Alligator mississippiensis: one gene and its partners. The protein of the gene in region 3 purifies or fractionates together with the protein of the main gene of each other region. This does not show direct contact. Links are inferred from orthologs where the notes say so. Each region holds a gene or a part of one and is shown on either strand. Other genes may lie near its edges. The genes, in order: SMAD7, SKI and RNF111.

Evidence for each region.
Region 1: the proteins of RNF111 (region 3) and SMAD7 purify together in Homo sapiens (affinity purification with western blotting; 3 studies listed by BioGRID). This does not show direct contact. The link is inferred for Alligator mississippiensis from reciprocal best matches to the Homo sapiens genes RNF111 and SMAD7.
Region 2: the proteins of RNF111 (region 3) and SKI purify together in Homo sapiens (affinity purification with western blotting, with the first as the bait; 3 studies listed by BioGRID). This does not show direct contact. The link is inferred for Alligator mississippiensis from reciprocal best matches to the Homo sapiens genes RNF111 and SKI.

Annotation. Positions count from the first base shown.
Region 1 is NC_081826.1:289,549,854-289,553,597, forward strand, and holds the start of SMAD7 (mothers against decapentaplegic homolog 7), read left to right. Parts: upstream 1-1,321; 5' UTR 1,322-1,552; coding exon 1,553-2,039; intron 2,040-3,310; coding exon 3,311-3,364; intron 3,365-3,744. UniProt on the Homo sapiens protein: Antagonist of signaling by TGF-beta (transforming growth factor) type 1 receptor superfamily members; has been shown to inhibit TGF-beta (Transforming growth factor) and activin signaling by associating with their receptors thus preventing SMAD2 access.
Region 2 is NC_081836.1:13,631,955-13,635,698, reverse strand, and holds the start of SKI (ski oncogene), read right to left. Parts: upstream 2,200-3,744; 5' UTR 1,562-2,199; coding exon 650-1,561; intron 1-649. UniProt on the Homo sapiens protein: May play a role in terminal differentiation of skeletal muscle cells but not in the determination of cells to the myogenic lineage. Functions as a repressor of TGF-beta signaling.
Region 3 is NC_081834.1:38,758,945-38,762,688, reverse strand, and holds the start of RNF111 (E3 ubiquitin-protein ligase Arkadia), read left to right. Parts: upstream 1-1,189; 5' UTR 1,190-1,242; coding exon 1,243-1,274; intron 1,275-3,744. UniProt on the Homo sapiens protein: E3 ubiquitin-protein ligase. Required for mesoderm patterning during embryonic development. Acts as an enhancer of the transcriptional responses of the SMAD2/SMAD3 effectors, which are activated downstream of BMP.

The DNA of each region.
Region 1 (3,744 bases), on a different chromosome or scaffold from region 3:
AGGCGAGCCAGGAGCCTGCAAGCTCTGGGGCTCCCACTTCAGGGCGTTTCCTGGCCCCCACCTGCCCTGGGTGCAGCACCCCCCTGCAGCCCAGCTCGCCCGTGGGCTCCGCCAAGCCCCACTGCGGAGCTCTCGTGCTCCCTCCCCGGGGCTCAGCTTTGCCTCGGGGCGACCCGGCTGCACCATGTCGCCTCCCTTTCTTCTGCGGGGCTGGGGGAAGAGCCTGCTCGCTCGGATCCCTGCCCTGCTCCTCTCTCTCTCCCTCTCTCTCTCTCTCGACTTCAGGAATAAAAAAAAAATAGATTTTAGCAACCCGATCTCTTGTTTGCGCAACACAATCACTTTTTTTTTTTTTTTTTTTTAAAGCGACAGGGTGTCTAGACGCCCACGTGATTGGGGCCGGGGCTGGGCAGCGCCACTGCGCACTGAGAGCGCCGAGGCGAAGCCGGGGGAGGCGGCGGCGGCGGCTGCACGGAGGAGCGGCGGGGCGGCCGCTGGGCACCGGGGCATGGGCACGGGGAGCTGAGCCGAGCCGAGCCGAGCCGAGCTGAGCTGTTGCTGGCGGGGGACAGGCTCTGCTCCCCGGGAAGCAAGGAGGCAGCGGAGGGGAGAGAGAGGGAGAAGCCAGGAAGGAAAGCCGAGCCGAGCCGAGCCGAGCCGGAGGAGCTGCTCCTTCCCCCCCGCCTCTTCCCTGCGTATCGGGAGCCGATGCGGGGAGGAGGCAGCCGCAGGCAGCGCGCAGGGCTGAGCCGGAGCCGGAGCCGGAGCCGAGCCCTCGGGGCTGGGGACCGTCGGTAGCGAGAGGATCCTCCCGGGCACCTCGCAGCAGCCGCCGCCTCCTCCGCGCCCCGACCCCGTCCCCGTCCCCGTCCCCGCCCGGGCGCGGCGGGAGGAGTTTGGGGACAAGTCGACTGGAAATAAAACTGCCCGCGCGGCTCCCGCTGCCGGCGCGGCCACGAGACGAGGGGGATCTCACCCTCGGATGTGATTGATTTTTTTGGGGGGGGCGTGTGTGATGATTTTGTACCTTTTTGACACATTTCAGATTTTGATGATGACTTGAACTGAGCTTGAAACAAGCAACCCCCCCCCTCACCCCCCACGTTGTACAGCTTTCCTTTCTCCCTGCCCCCCAAAACTTCCCCTGGGCTGGAATCGGTGGATGTTTGACTCCGGAGGATACCGCGAGTTTCCTTTTTCTGTTTTTCATTTTTTTTCCCTTCGTCTTGTTTTCTGCGAGGAAGATCTGCTCTGCTCGGGGGGCGGCGGGGGCGCTGCGTGTTTTGGGGGGCGGCTGCTGATTTGATCGGGGGCCGGTGTCGGCGGGCGGGCGCGGCTCGATGCCGGGCGCGGAGCCCCGCGGGAGCCCCGCGCCCCGTCCCGCCGGCTAGCGCCGCACCGCGCCGCGCCGCCGAGCGAGACTGGCGCATGTGGCACCGCGCTGGGGCTCGCGGGCTGCCGGCGCTCGCTGCCTGGACGCGGAGCCCGGATCCTTCATGACTTGCGGACGACATGCTCGTTTTGTAGCCGGGCACCCCGCTCCTCGTCCCGCATGTTCAGGACCAAACGCTCGGTGCTCGTCCGGCGACTCTGGAGGAGCCGCGCTCCCGGCGGGGAGGACGAGGCGGGCGACGCCGCCGCGGACAGCCGGGCGCATGGGGCCGGCGGCGGCCGGGGCTGCTGCATGGGCAAGGCGGGCAAGCTCGGCAAGGCGGCGCTGGGCTCCGAGGCGGAGCTGAAGGCGCTGACCCACGCCGTGCTCAAGAGGCTGAAGGAGAAACAGCTGGAGGGGCTTTTGCAAGCCGTGGAGTCCCGAGGGGGCACCCGGACCTCCTGCCTCCTGCTGCCCGGCAAGGTGGACTCCAGACTGGGTCAGCATTGGTACTCCCTCCCTTTGCTGCTATGTAAAATATTCAGGTGGCCCGATCTCAGGCATTGCTCGGAAGTCAAGAGGTTATGTTGCTGTGAATCTTATGGAAAAACTCATCCAGAGCTGGTCTGCTGCAATCCCCATCACCTTAGCAGGCTCTGCGAACTAGGTACGGACAAGGGGGGGACACGCGTGTGCGCGCACACGAGACACACGTACGCGCACGCACACACATGTGGTTTGTATGGATTGCATGCACACACGTGTGTGGTCTATGGACTACACACACAGGCTGTACACATGTCCTATATGGGCTGCACACGCATGTGGTCTAGACTACACACACGTGTCTATGGACTGCACACACACACACACGGTCCATATGGACTGGTTGGACACTTGTGAGTGTGCATGGGGGTGGCAGGGCTGGGGGGTGCGTGGTTGCATGTGCGGAAAATTTGGGGGTGGAAAGAGGTGCTGAGCCTGGGGGTTTGGTAGCGGCGCTGAGCGGGCAGAGCAGGATGGTGCCCGCCCCGGGGCTGCGGGAGGGGAAGGATTCGGGAGACTTGAACTTGGGGGCTTGGCCCGGCCTGGCCTGAGCGGCAGAGCAGCCCGCCTAAGCACCGGGGGACAGGCCCCCTTGCTCCTCCGTGCATACAGACATGCCCAGCCGGGCTGGGATGTGCAGGCGCTGGGGGCCAGTGGGTCCCAGCCCCCGCCAGCAAGAAAACGTTTGAGAGCTGCAGCCATGCTGCCGCCTCCTCCAGGCACAGCTTTGTGTCTCCAAATAAGCCCCAGCAAAAAAAGTGTCGGTGCATTTGCCTGGCCAGTGGCATGAAGGCAGGGCTCCCCCGGCAGTGCTCGTGGTGGTGCTGTTCCGGGCGGCGTGGCGCCCCCGGCCCGACCCGGCCGGCCTCCGCCTCTCCCCTCCTCCTTCGGAAAACATGGCAATTACTTGCAAACTTTGCTTAGCTGCTGTAGCACAGAAATCGGCCCCTTCTGACTAGTGGGGAATTGCTGAAGGGCAGCCCTTGATTATTATTTTCCTCCTTCCACTTCCCCCCCTCTTCCCCCCAGCCTTTCTTTTTTTTTTTTTTTTTTTTCCCTTTTCTGTGAAATGTTAAATGTGTATGCAGCTAGCAAGGATTATCTGGCAGTCGGGATCAGTTGGTGATTTCCAGAGCTGGAGTGTTTTAGCTGAGCCAAGGAGGCCCTGATCAGACAGCCAGAGTAGCAGATAGCAGGGAGACTGGCGCCAGGCGGCCCCTTTTGTTTATCTGACAGCTAAATATCAAGGCAATCGCCGCTTAGCTGCCCTGCCTCCAACCCCCAGAGCTAAGACAAACAGTTTTGCTAAAAGAATGCCACTGTTATCATAAGTTCCTATCTTTTTTTTCTCATGGCTCTGCCTTTATTTTCTCTGTACTTTTCTAATTCCAGAGTCTCCCCCTCCGCCCTACTCCAGATATCCAATGGATTTTCTCAAACCAACTGGTAAGTAGACCTTTAAACAGAGGCTACTGTCTTCAGATAAAAAGGGAAAACAACTCTTTCTCCGGGGAAATGTTTCTTGCCTTTGTTACACGTCTGATGCATTTCACTTTTTGACCATTTCTCTGGGGTGTTCTGTGCTTTTTAACCCCCCTGCCCCATAAGAAGAAATACATGTTTTGACTCTGAAAAAACCTCCTGCGGCTGTCAGATTTAGCAGGGGATCTGGTAGGGATGGTGATTGCAACTGCTGGCTTTTCCCAACAAGGGACTTGGAACATTTTGGGATGGATCTGAAGAGAAAGTAATGTCAATTTGCCCACTTTGCCTAGTGAACACCTTCTCAGGCAGTCTTCCCAGTGTAGCTGATAATGTTATGTGGC
Region 2 (3,744 bases), on a different chromosome or scaffold from region 3:
CACTGTGCCAGAGTCTTATCCATTCACATACCACGCACTACTAGTATACTCATTTATCATCAGGGTTTTTCTATGCAACCTTATAAGCAGCTACTTTTAGTCCAAATATATGCAGAGATAATTTAGCCCCTGTTCCCAGAGCTATTCAGTTAAGAGGGTTTTATGTATTTGTCCACAAGTCTGTTCCTCTTACTTTATGTCCATCTTCCTTGCCCTGACCTCCCCCCACTTTCAGCCTCTGATGCCAATGTCCTTACACCACTTCCATTCCCTGTTAAAGTCAGGAGGAGGGGGTAAGAGTTTGCAAGGACCACAGGATCGGCCCCTAAATCATAGACAAAAATTAATCTGTTTTTAAATTAAACCTAAAGCCTCTAACAAGAAAACCGATTTCAGCTTGCAGCTAAAAAAAAAAAAAAAGTGCTCTCTTTAAATGCTTCTCCCCCACCTGAACACACAGCGTGATTTTCCAGCATGACAGACTGCTGCATGGCTTTAACAGCAGCTCTGGTGCCCTGGACCTTTCTATCTCAGTGCAAGTCTGAAATCGCAGTCTGGCTCCTCCTGGCCCCCCTCATCTCGGTCTTCAAATAAAAAACTGGGGAGAAAAACCCCCAAACAACCCCCCCCCACAGACACACTTACTTACCCTGGGTGCTTTTCTCTTGTATTTGTTGTTGTAGTCAAATTTCTCTTTCATTTCATCCAAGAGCTGGCCCAGTCTAACTTTCTCCTCTTTCCCAGTGTAATCCTGGCTGAGGAGGATATAGGACCTCCAGTTGGCCGAGTCAAAGCCCCAGTGGCAAGTCCTGTTCTCCAGGGACTTGTGAGAGTGGACCACAAATTTGTGCGGTGGGTACATGAGCCTGCAGTCCAAGCACTGGATGCAGGCTGCGCTGGGGTTGCTGTAAAGCTCCGGCACCAGGAGTCCCTTGCACTTCCCGAAGCACTCGTGGTACACCTTGAAGCTCTTGTCCGTGTACTCCAGCTCGATGGTGCTGGAGAACTCCTTCTTGCAGTGCGGCGGGTAGGTGCCCCCGTAGAGCAGGGCATTGCACAGCCGCTCCGCGTCGGTTTTGGTGATGAGCCCGCAGGAGGGGGCAGAGAAGGGCAGGATGCCCATGACTTTGAGGATCTCCAGCTGGTCAGCCGTGCACCTGGAGCAGTAAATGTGCAGCTCGTCACACACCGAGTTGATCTGCTGCAGGGAAAAGTCCCTGAGCACCGAGTTCAGGATCTGGGGCAAGCAAAGCCGCTTCTCTCCCCCCACCACGAAGCAGGAGATGGTCTCCCCTTCCAGGATGGTCTCGCACCTCTCCGTGGACCTGTCCGAGGGCATGAAGAAGGGGCCTGGCATCACCGGGGGAGGCTGGATGGGGGGCAGATGCAGGACGGGCTCCGCCGGGTCCTTGCCATTGTCCTTCTTGTACATCTCCTGGGCCCATCGTGCGGAGAAAGCAGCAGGGCCACCCAGGGAGCTCATAGAGCTCAGATGAAACTGTTCCAAGGTTTTCTGCAGTCCTGGATGAGGCTGGAAGCTGCTTCTACTTACAGTCTCCATTTTTAGTTTCTATTCCCAAAACAAAACAAAACAACACAACAACAAAAAAGCCCCGCTGATCTTCCACCCTGGTAGCAATCCACTGAACGGATTAAAGGGGAAAAAAACCCAAAACAACCCAACCCCCGCTTCTTTCTCTCCTTCCCCGCCCTGCTCCGGCAATCCACTCGCGAGGGGGAAGTCCTCGTGTGCTGCTGCTCTTTTCTCGGCTCGTGCCCGCTCACAGCCCCCACGGCTCCCGGGCTGCCCCGGCGCGGCGGAGAGTGCGGCCGGCAGAGGTCTTCATGCAGCCTCGCCGCCCCGCGCCCGCCTCAGATCCGCCCCGGCGGCGGCTGCTCTGCAGCGCGCTCCCTCCTGTCCATGTCCGCCGCCAGCGAGGGGGGGCAGCGGGAGGAAGCGAGCTCGGTCCGTAGACGGGGAGGGGGGGAGGGAGGGAGGAGGGAAAGCGTGCGGATAAAATGAAAAGGCCGAATTTCTTGCCCTTCGGAAACGCAGCGGGGCCGCGGGCGGGCTCCCCGGGCTGGGCGTGGAGGCGCTCCGGGTCTCTCGCGTCTGTGGTGCGCGCGGGGAGCTGCAGCAGCAGAGCACGTCCTCCCGCTCCGCTCCCCGCCACGGACTGGAGCGCCTCGGCGCTGAGCTAATGCGCCGGGCTCAGCCGCCTCCGCCGCCGCCTCCTCCCCGCCCCCGCCCGCGCCCGCGCCCGCGCCCGCTGCGTGTCGGTGTCTGCCTCGCTCATTGCAGCGCGGCCAAGAATGGGACCGGCTCCCGGCCGCGACCGCCGCCCCCGCCCCGCCACCAGGGACAGGGGGCTTCCCCGGGCCTGCCCGCCGCACCCGCACCCGCACCCGCACCCCTCCTCGGAGCACAAACACGGGCCCGCCGGCTCCGCACCGCCCGGGCACGGCACGGGGCACCGCACACCGCGCACACACGCGCGTTGTGCGAGCTGGGGGCTATACCACACACACACACAATACACATAGCACAAGCACACACGTTGTGCGAGCTGGGGGCTATACCACCCCCCCCCCGCCAATACACATAGCGCAAACACACACACACGTGTGATTTGGGTGCTATACCACACACACACAATACACATAGGGCAAACACACACGTGTGATTTGGGTGCTATACCACACACACAACACACACATAGCGCAAACACACGCGCGCGTTGTGCGAGCTGGGGGCTATACCACACACACACACACACACACAAGCACACACGTTGTGCGAGCTGGGAGCTATACCACCCCCCCCCGCCAATACACATAGCGCAAACACACACACACGTGTGATTTGGGTGCTATACCACACACACAACACACACATAGCGCAAACACACACGCGCGTTGTGCGAGCTGGGGGCTATACCACACACACACACACACACACACACAAGCACACACGTTGTGCGAGCTGGGAGCTATACCACCCCCCCCCCGCCAATACACATAGCGCAAACACACACACACGTGTGATTTGGGTGCTATACCACACACACAACACACACATAGCGCAAACACACGAGCGCGTTGTGCGAGCTGGGGGCTATACCCCCCACACACACACACACACACACACAAGCACACACGTTGTGCGAGCTAGGAGCTATACCACCCCCCCGCCAATACACATAGCGCAAACACACACACACGTGTGATTTGGGTGCTATACCTCACACACACACACACAAAATACACACAGCGCAAACACACACGTGTGATTTGGGTGCTACACCACACACACACACGTGTGATTTAGGTGCTATACCTCACACACACACACACAAAATACACACAGCGCAAACACACACGTGTGATTTGGGTGCTACACCCCACACACACACACACACGTGTGATTTAGGTGCTATACCTCACACACACACACACAAAATACACATAGCGCAAACACACACGTGTGATTTAGGTGCTATACCACACACCAACACCCAATACACATAGCGCAAACACACACACATGTGATTTGGGTGCAATACCACACCCCCCAATACACACAGTGCAAACACACACACACACGTGGTGTGCGAGCTGGGTGCTATACCACACGCGCGCGCGCACACCCCCCGGATATACGCAGTGCAAACACACACACAGAGGTGGTGTGCGAGTTGTGTGCTATAACTACAGACACCCCCCCCCCCCGGCTCTGCATAGCGC
Region 3 (3,744 bases):
CAGTATTGCCAACTCCCAGGATTTTTGGCGTTTGGGAATGTGACTTTCTTTTATATATATATCATTATATTGTATTTATAACAGTATATATAATATATAAAAGAAAGAGCCAAGTCTCGCATTCCCGAAGCGTAGACTTTAAGAACAAGGCCAACGATCCTGAGCGCTGGCAGCACTGAACTAGAGTAACCCAAAGGCTGATGCAGAGGGAAGCAGGCCCTGTGCCCCGCCCTGTCTCTGCATCACGCCCGATTCCTTATCGCGCTTGGCTTTGTCACCGGTCTTCCGATGTCCGAGCTACGTTTTATGCAGACAAGTTTCCAGCCCTGGGCACGGGAGAGGAGACGGCCAAGGTGAAGCAAGTGCTCCAGGAAAGACCAGGAACCAAAGAGCAGATTCAATTAATTCAGCATTTACTATTTCAAAAGCTTCTGCGCGGCTCACGCTCGGCCCGGCTCTGTGCCGCGACTGTTGCAGCACCCGGGGCCGGGCAATGGCCACCTCCGCCCGGGAGGGGGCGCTGCCGCGCAGGCCGCGCCCTTGCAGGCGCCGCCCGGGGGCGCTGGCGGAAGGAGGAGCGCTGTCCGGCGCGGCTGCGCTTTGCGGGCTGCCGTAAAGCAGCGGCAAGTGTCGCGCTGCCCCTGGGGAGGGAGGGAGGGAGCGGCGGCGGCGGCAGCGGCGGGGGCTGCGCAGCAAACAAAACCGCGAGCGCCCGGGCTGCGCCTGCCGCGGGTTGCTCTCGGCGCGGCCGGGAGGGCCGCGGGGCAGGGCGCGGGGCCTGGCGGGCCGACCCGATACCCGCCGCCCGAGCCGGCGCCGATGTGTGAGGTAGGTGGGGGCGGCTCCGCGCCGGGCCGGGCTCGGCCGCTGTCCGGGGCGCGGTGACGCAGCGGGGCCGGGAGCCCTTTCCTCCCCGGCCTCGGCGAGGCGAGGGGCTGCTCGGCCCCACGGGTCCCCGCCGAGGCAGCGCCTGCCGCCCGCGGGGCCCTTCGTGCGCCTCGGCCCCGCCGCAGTGTCCTTCAGCCGGGCCGCGGGGGGGGCCCTGGGGCTGCACCTGTTGAAATCGGGGTCTGGTCCTGCCTTAACGCGAGAGCAGGCGTCTCCCCGGGCCCTGCCCGACAGGGTCCTTGACAGCTGTGGAAGGAGGGGAGGAAATTGTGGTGCCAGAGAGGGGGAGTCGCCAGCCGGCTCCGCTGCTGCGCCGCTCCCTGTGCTTTCCTGTTTGCTGCTACGAGGGTCTTTATGGGAAAGAAGCCTTCAGCCACCACTAAAAGGTGAGCTGCTTCCTTAACCTTCACCTTAAGCTGGAGCGTCTTTGGTTTAAAGAGCTGCCCCACTTCTTGTGACCAAGTCCTGGATGAACCAAAGCAAAAGTCACTCATCCCAAGCTGGCACTTGGTGGTCAGTGACTGGCTGTAACGGAAAGTGATAAAGATTTCCACTGAGCTGTTGTCCAAACTGGGGGGGGCTCGTATTAAATCCTTCTTTTAAAGAAAAAAATCACATGGGTTACCTCCTTGCAACAAATAGAGGTTATGTATTTCATTTCAATATGAGGGCCTATGGAAGTGTTAACCGCAGTGCTTCACAACCAAGTCACAGTTGAACTCTCCTGGAAGGTATTTATAGACGCTCGTACTGTGGCATTGGGTGAGGTCTGAGGCAGAATGACTGACTTGCTTGGAGTCATCATGGTTTCAGTTATCCTTTCAATTATCACTGCTAGTGAGTATGGTTTGTGTGTCTATGAAATGACTTGACAGAATTGCATCTCAATGTCATCATGAGGAGTACAGTTTCTGCTTTTTCGTGAAGATGCATGCAGCAGCAAAGAGTTGTCTGCAAACTGAAGAATATCAGCACAACACCAGTATATATGCTCTTTTTTTTTTGTTTTTATCTGATAGTTGTGTTACTACAGCAGCTACGTTAGAAACATTTTGCTGAAGTGTTAAATTGGGGGTTAACCTAAAGCTTCAATAAGGTAAATTATCTTGTAAGGCTACAACTCCTTGATCCTAAGTTTACTATGTTTGCCTTGGAGTAATGTTCCTAGTTACCAAAAAATGATGCCTGCAGCTTTACTGCTGAACAAATCGCAATTTATGTAACAGGCTGAGTTTAACCCAAGGCTGAAACTAAGCACGCTAAGGATATTTCTGGAGTGATTGTCTCAATGTTCATGTACTCTCTTGTTTTGTCAAGTACATTTTTACGTGCATCCATGCTGCAGAGCATGCTCTGTATGCAGGTGGCCATGTACACATTGTTCTATATTGAAGCATTGGTTGTTACAGTTGCTAAGGCAGTATTGAACATTTTTTATTACTCCCTACAGTAGAGAGATGAATTCATAGTGTATCATAGGAGAACATGTCTGTCCTTCCTGGGGCCCTGTACTGAAATGTTCCTTGCCTGCCAGCACATCTAGCCAAGGTGTTTCTGGCTCTATACGCTTTGCTTCATGTTCCTTCCAGCTGGAGCCACGCCACAGATTCAACACCAGAGGAAGAGCTCTTCCTGCTTGTCACTGTGTATTGTTATTGCATGATACCAAGAGAGGGTGCTTTGAAACAGTGGTGGAAATTCTGTAGCAGTTCTTGTTCTCTAGAATAGAGGTGGCTAACCCTGGCATACATGCCACAAGTGGCATGGCCAGCTGGTGCATATGGCATGTGGTAGATTGCACAGGAGACAGAAAGCAGACCAGGCAGTGGAAGGGGATTAGTTTCAGACTTGGGGAGGGTGTGGGGCTAACTTGTGGCATGTATGACAAAAAGGTTGGCCCTTGCTGTGCTAATGTTGTGGCAGATTTGTGGTTGGATTCCGCCCTAATGCAGTTGTGGTACTTGATGCTTGCTGACATCAGCTGGAAATTCCCCCATGCATAGACAGGTATTCTTGGTACAGGACATACAGCACTCTTGGACTGTATTATTATGCTGATCTTTGATAACTAGTGGTGGCTACTGAATTTGTGCATTAGAAAGCATGCATTTGCAGAGGCACATGTGGAGTATGTCAGGACGTGAAATGAGGCATTGCTGGTCCAGAAGTGGTTTGCTGTAGCAACCTTGGGCAGCTGCAGGCCTGTGGTTAATCAGTCTAATGTTGGCAAGCCAACTTTTCAGGTTGGGCTAGCAGATGTTTGAGGTGTTTGAACACTGTGTTCACCCACAGATAAGTGTACTGGTTATACCCACTGGAATGATAACTAAAATTATCTTCCCAGATTGTGTACTGTGGTCATTAATGGCACTTGTGATGGGCAAATGTGGGGGGGACGGGACATAAATCCCAAATGGAAAGTGTGGATTGTTCTGCATCTCTATAGATAGACTTGAGATAAATGAGATCTGATATTAACTTGTTGAGTAACTAGGGACTTAGAAAAATATGTTTAGGGTTTGTATACCCACTCTTCTAGGGCACCCTGCCATGGCTTTCCCATGAGGACCTAGGAAAAGAAGGTTTAATTGCATACTTTACAGTTGCAGAGTGGTAGTGTAGTGTACACTTTAAAGGCTGTCAAGGCAGGAAGGTGTTGCCTACCAAACCATTGACAAAATGCAATCTGCATTATTTTGACATTCTGTGCAAAGCCAATGGTGTAAAGAGTCTTGAGTAACTGTTTTAACCAGAGGGTGCATTTGTCTTCACTGGGGCTGAGTTAAAGCAAGCAAGGGACTTCAGGGATGCCTTATTTACATATATGCATTGCAGGGGGTTGTGAATATGATGATG